2 linked regions of the Mytilus edulis genome follow. The protein of the gene in region 2 interacts with the protein of the main gene of each other region in a biochemical or structural test. Links are inferred from orthologs where the notes say so. Each region holds a gene or a part of one and is shown on either strand. Other genes may lie near its edges.

Region 1 (7,969 bases), on a different chromosome or scaffold from region 2:
ATTCTCAATAGTTAGAACTGGTTCTGCTTGATTTAAACGCAGCCTTTGTCTTGTACCTATAACCATACATTTCGTCTTATCCGAATTTATGAACATGCTATTTTCATGACACCATTTTTCAACGCATTGGAGATCATCTTGTACAAATGTACTTTTAATTGCATATCACCAATAGTCTTTCCTGATGTATGCATAGTTGTGTCATCAGCATACAGGTCTGTATGGCAGTTTTTGATGTGTAATGGAAGGTCATTTATGAACAAAACAAACAAATGGGACCAAGTATTGAGCCCTGTGGAACACCAAAATTCATAAACTTTTTATCAGAAAACTGATTATTTATATGGACTTGCTGTGTTCTTTCACTCAAATATGATTTTAAAAAATCAACAGTATCTTCATGGAAGCCATAAATTAGAAGTTTTTTTACATAGAATTTCATGATCAACAACATCAAAAGCTTTCTTAAAATCCAAGAGGACTGCCAAATTGATATTTCCATTATTCATTTCATGTAGCCATTTATCAATACAAATGTATTAATGAGGGCAGTTTGATATGAATGGTTGGGTCTAAAACCAGACTGGGAAGGGTGTAAATTATCAAACTTTGTCAAATATTTATACAGATGTTTAGATACATGTCTCTCAATTAATTTTGATAATGTTGGCAAAACAGATATTGGTCTGTAATTGCTAGAGCTCTACATTTTTTTCACCAGATTTGAAAATTGGAGCTACTTCGGCATTTTTTAAAACAGATGGATAAATACCAGTATCAATCATTCAATTAAAAATGTATGTTAAGGAAGATGCTATGAAAGGAGCACTAAGTTTTAAAATCTTTGGACCTATATTGTCAGAACCAGAAGATGTCTTAACATCTAGTTTAGTTATTTCAGCAAATAGTTCTGAAACTTTTACTGGAGGAATGATGAATTTATTATGCCTTTTTTTCAAGAATTTCATTTGTACATACATTGTAGTTTGTCAGAGTATTAAAATTTGAGTTGCTTGGTGCCCTACTATGCCTTAATTTTTCAACAAGTCATGAGGTGAAATAATTATTGAACGTATTAGCAATTTCTTTATGGTCAGTTGTTTTATGGTCTCCATTTGTAATAAGTTCATGTGGTTTTGAAGGATTAGATGGATTTAGGCTGTGAATACATTTCCATAGTGTTTTAGAATCTTTTGAGTCTTTTATCATATCATTATAATATTTCTGTTTAGATGTATCAATGATATATTTTGTTCTGTTTCTCCAGAATCTATATTCAGGCCACATTCCCAGTGAGTGATATTTATCTCTCATTTTTCTTGCATATGAGATTTCTTTATTGTACCATTCAGGCTGTCTGTCTTTTTTTACCCTCTTTTTCACAATAGGGGCATGTTTATTTAAAATGTTGTACCACATTTCAATACAAACAGATGGATCATTTTCAAATTCAATATGTTGAAAAGGTGCACTTTTAAAATCTTTTAAATAATTTTTCTCATTAAAAGTCTTAAAATTTCTATAAGTGATTGTTGAATGAGAATGTTTTTTATCACACAATTTCTGTTGTCTTGTCATACATATTGGGTAGTGATCACTAATAGAATATTTAGAAACATGAGCCTCTTTAACCATGCTTAAACTGGTGACATATATATGGTCAATCAAAGTTTTTGATTCATTTGTTACTCTAGTTGGTTCCTTAATTACCTGTTGAAAGTTATGAGTTTCTAGAGCAATTAACCATCTTTGTCATGTTTGTGGTATTTTATTGGGTTGTAAACAATTTATGTTAAAATCTCCCATAAGGATTACATCTGAATTATATTTCATTGCAATCTTAATACATCCATGACCAAATGACATAGATATCAGTCACTTCATTTGTACACACTCAAGTAAAGATACTATTAGTTGATACCACATTGTTCTAACCTTGTTCATTAAATGGCTGACTATCCTCATCCATTCCTGAATCAGCTTTATCACTTTTGTCTTCCAGTTTCAATTCATCCGCATGAATGTTATCTGATTCCTACAATTATTAACCATACACTATCATACATACATTAGAACATTGTAGGTAATTAATGCCTTTAAAATTCATCTTACTTTTGAAATGGCATTCACCATTTTTGAATTATAGCAATGTCCTTATTTTTTAATCATCATTTGAACAATTATACATATTAGACAGTAAATAAACTTTTGATTTAACTAGACACATTATCCCTATTGGGAGATTTGTTCTGCTTAACCAGAGAATCTTCGCCTAAGAACTTTGATGTCATACAACAATCACTTTATCATTGTGGCATTTGATATTTTTTATTGTGACTTCAAAATTTCACAGGAACCTTAGCAATGTCAAGAAATGGCAGACAAATAGTATTAATGATAAGGTGTATGGAAGGGGGACAATGCAGATGGAAATTATATAAATAAAAGTCAGAGAAAATTGAGTTGTTTAAGAGGCGTTTTGAAAAATACAAAATTAGAACCACTCCTATATCAAGATTTAAATATCAGATGACGATCAAGTATATTCAAAGGGGGCTTATGGGGCCCAAAGGTATTGGGTCTATTCATTCTGGTTTCTTTCTCCTACTTCATGGTTACGATTCCCAGGATGCATGTTATTTTTTGTCTCATTATATATAAGAAATATGACGGAATAAAACTAAAACGATGTATGTTGGATTGGTAGTTTTTATAATATCAATACAATTCATGATCTTTTATCTGAACATCCTGCAGCCCCCCCCCCCCTTTTTTCCACATAAATCCACCTCTGGATATGCAGTGTACTGCTCCTTGGCTACTGTTTATATCCATGAGAAGACCCACTATCAACGGATCTTCCCATGGACAGAAACAAGTGCCTGTGTGCTGTGAACCAATAATTTTTTGTAAATTTATTAGGTTAAAATCAGCCTTAAAAAGAGGGAATTTGGTACAAACAAATAAAGCTACCATGGGTTATTTTGTTTTTCGTTTTTTATATATTACCGTGTGAATACTTTGTTCCATTTGAATAACTAGACTGTTTTCTAAGTTTTCGTTGTTTACACTTTTTCCATTTCGCGCGTAATTCCAGAGCAGATGACATGCGCAATTTCCGGAAGATTATTTCCGGTTTTTTTTCCAAAGTATTTTTCTTCCTGGTACATTCGGAGCTCTATGGAGCGTATTCATATAATTTAAAGAAAAAGTCATATACGATATATAACGTCTTCCCGCCATCTCTATCTCCAACATGATAAGATTTTATTGCACTGGAGGAAGAGGAACAGAAAAGTTCATTAAAACAGAATTAGAGAAAAAACTGAGAGCACAAAATGTATATGAAGATATTAAAAGATTTGTACAACAACACAAAGAAACTATCTATCCTACATGCATTTCTTACTAAAGTTATTTTAGAAATCTCTTTAAACATATGTAAAACACACTCAGATTTATATAGGGGTGTAAAGGGAGGGCAACTGCATGGATGAACGCAAAATAAAAATAAAAAAATAAATAAAACTAATTCATTTCTCGTTAAACATTTAAACGAACAATTAAAATTGTCCTGCATGTTGGTCTTTTTACTGATTCACGAAACACAGGGAATAACAAGCCTTTTTCACGGCTGCACGTGAAATAAAAATGGCAAAAAGTGTTGCACTAAAATAACCCTTTACCACACTCTTTACAATGTCATGGGTTTAGCATGTATCAAATTAGAGTACCATACATTGTTGACTTATTTATATGTACACAAGACACATCACACAACAATCATGTTTCCATTGTGCATGTTGTGGCGTCATATATTTGGTATTATGACGTCAAATTTTATAAGGACCTTTGTCAGAGGCAGATTTAGGGGGAGGGGGCCTGGGGCCCCCCATTTTGGGAAAAAAATTTGTTGCTTATATAGGGAATCACTGAAGCGTGACTGGAGTGGGCCCCCTCTTAGGCAGTCAGTGGGCCCCACTTATGGAAATGTCTAGATCCGCCAGTGTTTGTGGTTTCCAAAGTGTCGTCAAATATCAATATGGTGTATCAGTTCTTTCTGTTACATAGGAAATTTCGGGGGAAAAAGCACACACTGGAAAGTCTTCTTTATAATCTTATTTTTCTATTATTTATATATTAGAATTACGATTTTTTAAGTTTTACTAGCCTAGGCCACACTAATTTGATTCCTTGTTCGACGGACCCGCCTGCACCTATTTTTTTCAAAACAGAATTTTTTATTTTTTTTTATATTCCCGCTTCCCGCATCCGGAAATGTAATCATGCCCATTTCCTGCACCGTTTTTTTTGTAAATATTATAAAAAGATATCAACATTTGTTTATAAAATCACAGTCTAACCTGTATATATAAGATTTTACACATAAAAGCACACCACCAGTTCACCACACTGTGTAAATATCTGTGAGAATATTTGTTTCAGCATTAAACCTATTTATCCAAAGTGGGAGTGCTCGATATAAATTTATAACAGCGGAAATACCTGTAAAGAACAAAAGATTGGTTTCTTTCCCCCTTACTTATATTCCCTATCAAAAAATGTTCGTTGTTAGAATAAAGTACAAAGAACTTCTGAAGGATTTGCCTTCAACTGCAATTATATTGTATGCTGGCGAAACAAAACTATCCATAGCCGCTGCATGTTTAAGCGCCTGTCCTGATTGATTCAGGGGCCTGTCATTCAGCAGTTATCGTTTGTTGATGTTGTTCATTGGTATTTTCCTGTTTGGATATATAAATTAGATCATTGGGTTTCCTGTTCGAATTGTGTACGCTAATAATTTTGGGGTCCTTTATAGCTTGCTGTTTGGTCTGTATCAAAGCCTTGTGTAAAAGGTCGTACTTTTACATGTGTTTGTTATTATCAGTTTGAGAACAACCCTCCCAGGTCTCCCTCAGACAAGTATTTGACAAAGGGTCATTTTACTGATGTAGAAAAGAAAACAGAAATACCAAGGATTTGTATAGTTCTTCTATACAAAACCTTTGAAAACTTAGAATTTTGTACTGAAAAAGAGGAGAGTTACATCATATTTTAAACAACTTTTTCTAAAAGAGGGGTCCACTTATTTTGAATAATATTAAACTGTTAAAGTAAATGTGTTAAAAAGTCCAGGAATATTACAAAATTCTTGGACATGTTTGACCATTTAATACGAGATAGATAATATATAGTTCTTTGAGAAAACATGAGCCCTTTAGTACAAACAAATATATTATAACTTATATTGATCCCTCAAAAAATATGTAAAAGGGATATTTATAACATTAAGGGGTTGCCCCCAAACTGATTATGACTTAGATGGAGAATTGTCTCATTGTCAGTCGCACATACATAGACCAGATTTAATTATTTCTTGGTGAACAGGGAAAAGTTACTTCAGAAATTAAAGAAATGTCAAAGAACAAGTGATAAATCAAGTTTTAATATTGTCAAAACCTACTATTTTATGTTTACAAAAAAAAATTATAATCGCTCGCCTTTACTTTTCAAGCTTCGCAGAAAATCCGTAGAACAAGATATTAAATTGGTGTGGCCCTATCTAAGAAATACTGCTAACATGCCTTGGAACCAATTGGTAATATTACAGATTTCTTTGAAGAGACTATTATTTTATTGAATCCTTTGAAAATTCAGTGCTCACAGTTTTTAGTTTGGACTGAAAATGATAGAATTCCCAGATTATTGTGATGTTTTTTTTCTTTTCATTTATATAGATTGTTGTCTCTGATGGTAAAGTTTATTTTGATGCCAATATCTCACAGATTCAGCAGATTGTAACACTGAGATCAGTAGAAAGAATATTTGTACATATCTTACAACTGGATTGGAAGACGATACGAGAAATAAACAAAAGTAGGTACATGTATTCTTTTGACATGGTTGGAACAAGGCGAGAAAATTTCACAAGTTTTGATATACAAATTTCTATACTTTTATGTTAGTTAAAAAATAACCATGATAACCATCAATTATTACTGCAAATGAAAGATCATTTTAATTTTCGGCTTGTTGAACATCTTGACCTTGCTGTAATATATTGTGCGTGCCTTTAAATTCATCATTTTAAGATCTTAAACTAACTTTCAAAGGATAAAAAGAACCTTAAAAGGACTGTTTACATGCCATTTCTTACAATTAGATAATATATAACAAGTCAATTTATGCAAGAACTGTGCTGCCGTTGAAAATTCTTTGGTTGGGTTGTTGTCTCTTTGACACATTCCCTGTTTCCATTCTCAATTTTATTTTACAATTATGTCCAATAGAACTTCCATGACTATTGATCATTTGAAAATTAGAACAAGATTTTTTTGATTCATAGCTAAAAGTAAACCACAAATTTAAAAGTTTTACAGAGGATTGTCTTTTAGTATGCATATTTTGGCAAAACCAAGAAATTAAATATCCATGAAACAACACATTTTCCTCAATCATGTCAATCCAGGAAAAGGAATAAGCAACATTATTTGTATGAAAATTTGATGCAAATTCTAAGTTGAATTTGAATTTGAAAAAGTAGATCATTTTTGCCTTAGGATTGGAACGACAGAGAAATGTGTTAGATTCATTTATTGAATGCCATCTAATATGAAATTTGAATTACCATAATTTTCAGTCAATTCATTCTTATATAATTTTCCCTATGATTACAATATATAACACATTTTGTAGAAAAGCAGTATGATAGAATTTCCTATGTTCATGTGAGACGTGCTATTATGAATGCTGATATATGGAATGATCCTGTCATTCATCAGATCCCTCATGAAGTATTACAGGTCCAGAACACAGCCATGATAGATGAGAGTTCTCCAGATTCAAAACATCAATCAACTTCTACATGTTCTCATGTCTTGGAGAAAACATCAATCGATTGTTCACAGAAATTAGAAAGCATTAAGCCTACAACAACAAATACAGATACATTAGTCGAAGTTTTAAACAAAGAAGGCCCAGCCACCATAGAAAAGCAAAATGAACCTATGGATATTCAGCATGATAGATTGGACATACAACCAGTTGCTTCTGTGGAAACAAACAAAGCAGACTTACATGTACCTATTACAGAAAAGAAAAGCATTTCGGATGATGTAAAAAACATTGAATGTGATAAGCATGATGTTGATTTAAAAGAACCTGAAAGATTAAGCATGTCTGTCACTGAGAAAAAAGATCAACTGACAGAAACCCCAAAAAGTGAATCAGAAAGTGGTTTGTTGAAGGTAGAACAATCTCTAGGATCAACAAAATCAGTTAAAAGAAGTTGTAGTCCTAATAGAGAAAACCCTGAAGAACCTGTAAAGAAAAAAGAAAAGTTAGACTTTACATTTAGAGTGACTTGTCGCTGCACAGGCTCAGTTGGCAAATATGTGTATGCACAGGTAATGGTATAAAAGATTGAAATGTGTATGCTTTATATCATTGAGTAAAACAAATTTTCAATAAATGAAAGCTTTATGCTATCTTTTCAAAGTATAGGTATGTTATATGGTAATACATTTTTATGCTAGAATGACATAAAGACAAAAATGTAATCACAAGTCTTTCACAACTGCATGCACTGCTAAGTTAAAGTTAAACTTTGACATACAAATAAATTACAAAAAATATACTTTTAGGTATTTTAAACAGTAGTACATGCAGTGATGTCTTCGTTTTAAAATGTTACTTTGTAATGATAAGTTACAATCTGAGTGTACACTATTGAACAGTGCCATTGTACCTATGAACAAATTACATCCCGATCAAATTACTTCCCTTTACCTAAGTGATGATCAAATTACTTCCCTTTAAAATCAAGAAATTTCTTAGTATTTATTTTTATTGTTTAAAGGTGAGATACGGATCAATTTTGTATTTTATTCTAGTGAGGTCATTTGTTTAGTCCAAACACATTTACATGTAGTATATTTTACATTTGTAAAGGATCTCCAAATAAGCA
Region 2 (7,536 bases):
TGTCATAGTCCGCGAAAATACTTTATTTAGAATTTATTGTAAAAAAATTATAACTATTAAGATATCCTGCACAAGGCACGGGCTTATTTGTCATAGTCCGCGGTAATACTTTATTTAGAATTTATTGTAAAATATTTATAACTATTAAGATATCCTGCACAAGGCACGGGCTTATTTGTCATAGTCCGCGGAAATACTTTATTTAGAATTTATTGTAAAATATTTATAACTATTAAGATATCCTGCACAAGGCACGGGCTTATCTGTCATAGTCCGCGGAAATACTTTATTTAGAATTGTTAAAAAAATACATCTCGGTCATCATGCTTGCGGGTGTTCCAATGAGCATACAGTTCGCCGAGAGATAGTGAACAAAATGATGAAAAGCATAGCTCTTGAAAATCATTTTGTACATTATTTCAAGCCAACTAATGTTTATCGGGTGGAATACAGAGCTCGTGACGGGGTACATTTCACTGTTCAAAGAGGGTTACCGTGCCTTCTAAGTAGCTTTGAGGAAGTCGGTCAGTTGGTTTATTAACAAAGTTAGCAAATGAACTGAAATATTTTCTCAATGTTTAAGAAGAAGAAATTTTTTTTTAACATCGAATGACTAAAATAATCCAAAAGTTCTTGCATATTTTTAATTTTAAATTATAATTTGCCAGAAGAAAGCTTTTTTACAGGTGAAGTACTGGAGAAAACTTTGTTTAATAAAACTAGCCTATTTTTGTTAATTATGGTTTTGATATTTCAACTGTTATTTATTTTCTTTGTTCCTAAAAATTATTCTTATTTTATGTTCCTTTTCGTTTGGTTTTTTTTTGTATCTTTTTCTTATTTTAATTAATATAATTGATCTGCATTTGGGGGATGGGGTAAAAGGGGTCCGGATCTGGAAATCCCTGGCTTAAAAACATGAAGTCCCAAGGTCCCGAATTTAAATAAATTTAAATCCTAAATTAATATAATTGATCTGCATTTGGGGGTAGGGGGTAAAAGGGGTCCAGATCTCGAAATCCTGGGCTTAAAAACACGAAGTTCTTAGGTCCCGAATTTAAATAAATTTAAATCCTAAATTAATATAATTGATCTGCATTTGGGGGTAGGGGTAAAAGGGGTCCGGATCTCGAAATCCCGGGCTTAAAAACACGAAGTCCCAAGGTTCCGAATTTAAATAAATTTAAATCCTAAATTAATATAATTGATCTGCATTTGGGAGTAGGGGGTAAAAGGGGTCCGGATCTCGAAATCCCGGGCTTAAAAACACGAAGTCCCAAGGTCCCAAATTTAAATAAATTAAAATCCCGACATCGCGAAAAAAGAATTTCCAGATCCCGAAAGGGTTAATCCCGAAATCCCGAACTTAATTGCATAATATTAATTTACGCACAACCATGTAAAAAAAGAAACTTGTATGTTATATTTTTTATAGCAATCTAAAAGAGAAAATTGCCGTGAAAAGACAATTCCATGATACACATATCAGTGATCAACAGCGTGTGCACGTGGTTGAACTTTAACTTGACTCCACTCACAATAATATTGAATGCTAATAAAAGATATTAAAGATCGATTTTGTCCACTACACGAGATTTTTATAAGGCGGGAAATGTAACAGTAAACACAGGTGACCTTACTGACCGACCGTGGGAAAATTCATTCATGATTAAATTTGATGTGGAATGATTGACAGTATTGTGCTTTAGTTTTGAGGCTCTTGATCGATTTACCAGAATAGAAATTTAATCGATTTACATACATGTATAATCAAAGCACGATTTAGTCGTCTTTAACTATTTTTTGTTTTATTTTTATCAGTCATTTCCCGGATTCCCATTTATCCATAAAAATAAGTCCCTACCCGTACTGTAATGCAGCCTTGGTAAACCAAGACAGTCACAAGCCTGTTTAATGCAGTGTCCATACCGTAATATAATTTCATTATCTCTTAATGATTAATTATGTAATGGGCACGTGTCAGTAAACAACAACCGAATTAACAATATAACAGAAGTGTGAGGTAATGATTATTTTGTTTATTGGAACATATTAACTCATTATCACTACTAAATTATATATTTGGTACTGAACATTTCACTATTAAAACTTATTCAATGTATGAAAATAAAGGAAAATAGCAATAAAAAAAAACGTAAATACTAATTTTAGAAGAATATTATTTCTGATTTTTTAGTAACTAATAAATTAAGTAAATTTAATACATTTTAAATGAAATAAGAAATAAATGAAATATAATAAACTTAGTGAAAGATTGTCTTCTTTGAAATTAAAAATTAAAAATTTTATTTTATTCTTCTTGTACCATGTTTTTTATACAACATTATAGTTACTTGTAAAAACATTTATATTTGCCAATGAAAATCTTTAATTTAGTTTTGAGAAAATTTTGTTAGAACAAACATACGAATCATCCATTCAGAAGCTTTGTTTTTATTAAAACAATCAAGTATAATAATTTTTTAATTAAATTTGAATTGAATATGTGAAAATTCTTAATTACATTTTATTTAATGTTGAGTAAATTGTTATGAAAAGTAATTAGTGATTGGAGTAATTGCATTGCTTTGATGTACTGGTTAAATTTTCAAATCCTTTCTGAAAAACAATCATTAGACAATTCTCTGTATATACAGTAAAATATTTAATACTATATTTTCATAGCGTTTTCCTTTAAAGGCATATGCAATCTTTCTTTTATTCATTCCGTACGATTTCCATGGTCGCCATCTTGGAAGTACACACCGATATCCATTAATTTATAATGATCAATATTAACTTACCTGCAACTTGTAAATCATTTTTAGGTTATAACTGTATAATTTACACTTCTAATATAATTTTATTCAATAATATATGTTTAAAAGTCACTCAAATGTGTTAATATTGATATTTGAAGAGTTATTCGGTCATTACATGTGTTATTCGGATAATAACAGTGTTATTCGGTCATTCGAGGTACCGTCTAATGGCTATAGCTGATATATTGATTGATGAGGCTGTTTTTAAGCTCAGGATTTCAGGATTGACCCTTTCAGTATTTAAATTTATCTAATTCAGGACCTCTGGATTTCGTGTTTGTAAGCCCAGGATATTGTGAATCAGGACCCCTGAACTCGGAGAATCAAATAAGAAAGTTACTAATCACATGGCAAAATCTAAAGACAAAACACATCAAAATCGAATGTACAAGAAACTATCATATTCCCGACTTGCTACAGGCATTTTCAAATGCAGAAAATGGTGGATTAAACCTGGTTTTATAGCACTAAACCTGTCAGTCTCACTTTGTTGACAGTCTCATCAAATTCCGTTCTATTTACAATGAAACCACTTTCAACACTATTGCTATTGTTTTCAGACGAATGACATGAATTTTACTTTGATTGCCTGTAGGTATGGAATATAACTTTTTATAAGATTACAGTTTCGTATACCTGTGCGATTTATTCACTTTCTTCTTGTTCAACTTTTCAACAAAACCAAAATGCCCGCTAAAATTGAGTTTCTCTTGTTACTTCCCTTTGTATTTTGGAACACTGGACAACTCGGCCCGATGAAAACTCGGACCGACTAGTAAGTTAACTCGGACCGTACAATTTAACCAGCACAGCCAAATCGTAGGCAGGCGCGGATCCAGAAGGGGGGGGAGGGGGTTCCTGGGGTTGGACCCCCTTTTTTTGGACGATCAATGCATTTGAATGGGGACATGTAATTGGAACCCCCCTTTGTCCTGGGTTAGGAACCCCCCTTTTTAAAATGGCTGGATTCGCCCCCGGTAGGGTCCTACTAAAATGCGCCCGGGGAAAAGAAAAAGCGCCCGGGGAAGAAAAATTAGCGCCCGGGTGAAAGAAAATGCGCCCGGGGAAAATATATAGATATTTTATTGGCATGAGACAACTTTGTGTCGATGAAATACGTTATGTACATTGATTTTTTTTTTATATTTTAGACAAGTAATTTGAAAATTCAGATAATAGGCATTTATAATAAAGCACAAAAACAAGTATGAATTTTTCAATTTTAACAATAATATATAAATACTATTTCGAAAGACAGATAATAATAGATCACAGTTTTATGAAGAAGATTTATAAAATGTAAAACTTCAAAAGACATGTTTTTCAAAAACAACATTAAAATGAAAAATGTAAAAAAACAACTTAAATTTCACAGATAAATATCTAATCAAAATTAAAAGAGTTACACATAATAAATCAGCAAATAAAGTAGTACTATACATGTACAGTAGTTAAATGAAGGGGGTAAAAAGCATGAGTTAAAACTAAGCATTAAAATCCTGATAAGCATAGACATTAAAACAGTCAAAGTTTTAGTTTTATAAAAAGATATAAACAACACTTTAGATGTAGCATCGTACATATCCCCATTTATATAAAGGACATAACAAGCAAAGATTTTTTTTAAGGAAAATATTCATTGTTATAAAATAGTATTATTTTATTCTCCCGGGCGCTTATTTTCCTTCCCCGGGCGTTTTTTTTCCCGGGCGCTCTCGGGCGCTCCCGGGCGCTTTTTAATAGGACCGAAATCGTAGCGTCCGTAATGCCATTTTAAGTATTAGGGAACAGTCATTATTTACCAGCTGGGGGGTTGGGTAATTTTTTGGGGGGTCAAAATATTTTTGATGAACATATTGGGGGGTTCAAAAAAATGTTCCAATATTAAATGGGGGGGGGGGGGGTCAATTTTTTTCAAACAGAATTTTCAACAACTACAAAATTTTATGTTCTCCTTTCTTGACACTGTGGAATTGCTTTTTATATTTGTTATCTTGGTTCATGTATACATGCTTCTAATATTAAATAGGTATAATTGGATTTATAGCATCAATGACTAGCACAAGAGGATATACCACATGGGAAGTTAAATAGATATAAATTAGTATGACAAATATCTGATGTATTTATGACTGTGGTTCTGCATCAAAAATAAATACTGACATCTGATTAGTATCAGATAAGTGTGATACAATCAAGCAATAATCTTTGCCTAATTATACATTTAATCTGAATGTCTCACCCTTTTAATACATAATAGAGCATGAAATAGTGACCTATTCCAGCTGCCCTGCCATCCCTACAAATCAGTTACATAGTAAGTGGCCTCTTTGGGAGATAATATTGACTTTAAGCAATTTGTTTATCAACACAGTCTTATTTTAATTAAAGATGGATAGAGAAAAGAACGAAAATGCTAAAATATTTCAACGTAAGCCTTATATAGAAAAAACGATTTTAAAAAGAAAACTTCAAACAAAATATTGTGAAAATGATATTCGGATTTCTTTCCAAACATGCTCTACATTTTTTGAAAATCGACAAAAATTAAATGGATACATGTATGAAGCACAAAACTCCAAGTTTGATTTTCGTTCTCTGCTGGCATTACTTGCTGTTTTAGATCATCTTGAGTGCAGCACACTTATAGAATTCCAAAATGCTTTTGAGATTTATTCATCTTATTTTGAACATCAACCAGATAAAAATGTTTTTCGGGACAAGATATTGGATGTTGATAAAGGACTAGTTTGCTGTTATTCCATGCACCCTTTTGATAAAGTAACATACATTTTTTTTGCGGCAGTGTAATGTTTCAAAGAAAGAATTGTTTCTTAATTTGATAGTATCAAATGATGAATTTACATTTATTTCCAATATCAATGGATTACAATACATATGTAAAAATACAGTTGATAATGAAACAAATAACATTGATATTGATCAAGTTTGTAACATAGGGGTAAAACTTGCAAAAGCTCTCTTTGTTTTATTTGAAAAAAATGTTTTTACACACACAGCCAAGTGTCTCATCCTTGAAAATGTATGTGACAGTGTTGAAGAGAGATACTGGGCGTTGTATGAAAGCAGTCATGAATGTTGGAGACAGGGAGAGTGTCGAGATGAAAGCGAGAAAGATTCAGATGAAAGTGAAAGTAACAGAGAAATGAGTGATCATATGGAAGATGTGAGTGAAAGTGGTGAAGAAGTTGTACAAGAATAGGTTAGTCATGTTTAGTTGTTTATATCTAAAACTTGTTATGTTGTGTAAATATGTTTATAAATGCATGTTTTCATCTTACAATAAAAATATGCTGTTAATTAAATGGTTTAAATCATTGATAAATAATAGCAGCAGATGGGGGGGGGGGGGGGGGGGGGGGGTCCAAAGTTTTTTATTAACTACATTTGGGGGGGTCATTTTTAAATTTACAATATGACTGGGGGGGTACATTTTTATTTTGTTCATTTCGCTATGAAATTCCCCCCCCCCCCCCCATCTGGTAAATAATGACTGTTCCCTTAACAGATACATCAGTTTGGGAAAGATACAAATTTGTTAACGCATACATATAATCTATTAAACCTAAATTGTTTCGTTCTTTTAAACAGTATAGTTTATTTCAGCGGAATCATAGTTGTGTTTTACCTTTAAACTTTTATAAATGATTCTGAATTATCTACTGAACAGGAACATAGATATACTGCTCCCAGATTAAAATGAATGTGTAAAACCAGGGGCGGATCCGGCCATTTTAAAAAGGGGGGTTCCCAACCCAGGATAAAGGGGGGTTCCAGCTATATGTCCCCATTCAAGTGCATTGATCGGCCAAAAAAGGGGGTTCCTACCCCCGGCACCCCCACCCCCTGGATCCGCCAATGAAAACATATCGTTTAACGTATACATGTGCAATACTAGTATTTGGAAATATCTTATAAATATCAGGAAAATGCATTGAAATTAAAAAATATATTTTACAAAATATATAGAGTTTTTTTTTTTTTTATTAATTTGACATAAAAATCAATTAAAATTTTGAGAAACCTCTGATACCTCAATCATGTTCTACCAGACTAATTTATAAATCAGTACACATCAAACTGATCTATAGCTAGTGTAAAGAACATATTTATTTATACTGGATTTGGAAACAAGTTTTTGCAACTTATATTAATTCCTTTCCACTTTGCGGGTGCGAGTACTGCCTTGTAGCGGCATTATCGCACGCTTTTTCGAAATCTACAAGGGTGTCTTTAACGTGCAAGAGTATAGCTCTATCTTAATTAACATGGGTAAGCTATTTTTCGTCCCCTTCCGACGGACTATCATCGTTTCCTGGAGACCATACTCGCAAATGGTGTCAAGGACCGGAGAGCCGAAAATTCAGTCCCTGAAATTCTCATCCCAGACGAGTAACCTTTGTGTTAGTAGTCCAATGCACTAACCACTACACCACGGCTCTCACGATATAAACAGTCCGAATCCGATTATATGTTTCTCACTTTTTTCTGTTGGTTTGAAATTAAAAAATGTTTTTTTTTGAAAGATTAATAGAAAGATAAACTTTTGTTGACAGCTTATTGAAAATCATCTTAAAAATTACCAGAATAAGGTGACACGAAGGGGACTTCGGAATAGAAACAAATAGCCATTTTTAGTCTATTCCAAACCGTCAGATAACACCTCGACAAAATTGGGCATTCGTTTGTTTGT

The links.
Region 1: of the proteins of cell division cycle 7-related protein kinase-like (region 2) and claspin-like, one has a biochemical effect on the other in vitro, tested with the Homo sapiens proteins (3 studies listed by BioGRID, with this or other methods). The link is inferred for Mytilus edulis from reciprocal best matches to the Homo sapiens genes CDC7 and CLSPN.

What each region holds. Positions count from the first base shown.
Region 1 is NC_092346.1:40,924,559-40,932,527, reverse strand, and holds the start of claspin-like, read right to left. Parts: upstream 3,169-7,969; 5' UTR 3,031-3,168; coding exon 3,010-3,030; intron 2,036-3,009; coding exon 1,936-2,035; intron 1-1,935. Other genes in the region: THUMP domain-containing protein 2-like, read left to right, coding at 3,257-3,340, 5,742-5,880, 6,700-7,409, 7,954-7,969.
Region 2 is NC_092357.1:43,430,757-43,438,292, reverse strand, and holds the start of cell division cycle 7-related protein kinase-like, read right to left. Parts: upstream 3,573-7,536; 5' UTR 3,459-3,572; intron 1-3,458. UniProt on the Homo sapiens protein: Kinase involved in initiation of DNA replication. Phosphorylates critical substrates that regulate the G1/S phase transition and initiation of DNA replication, such as MCM proteins and CLASPIN.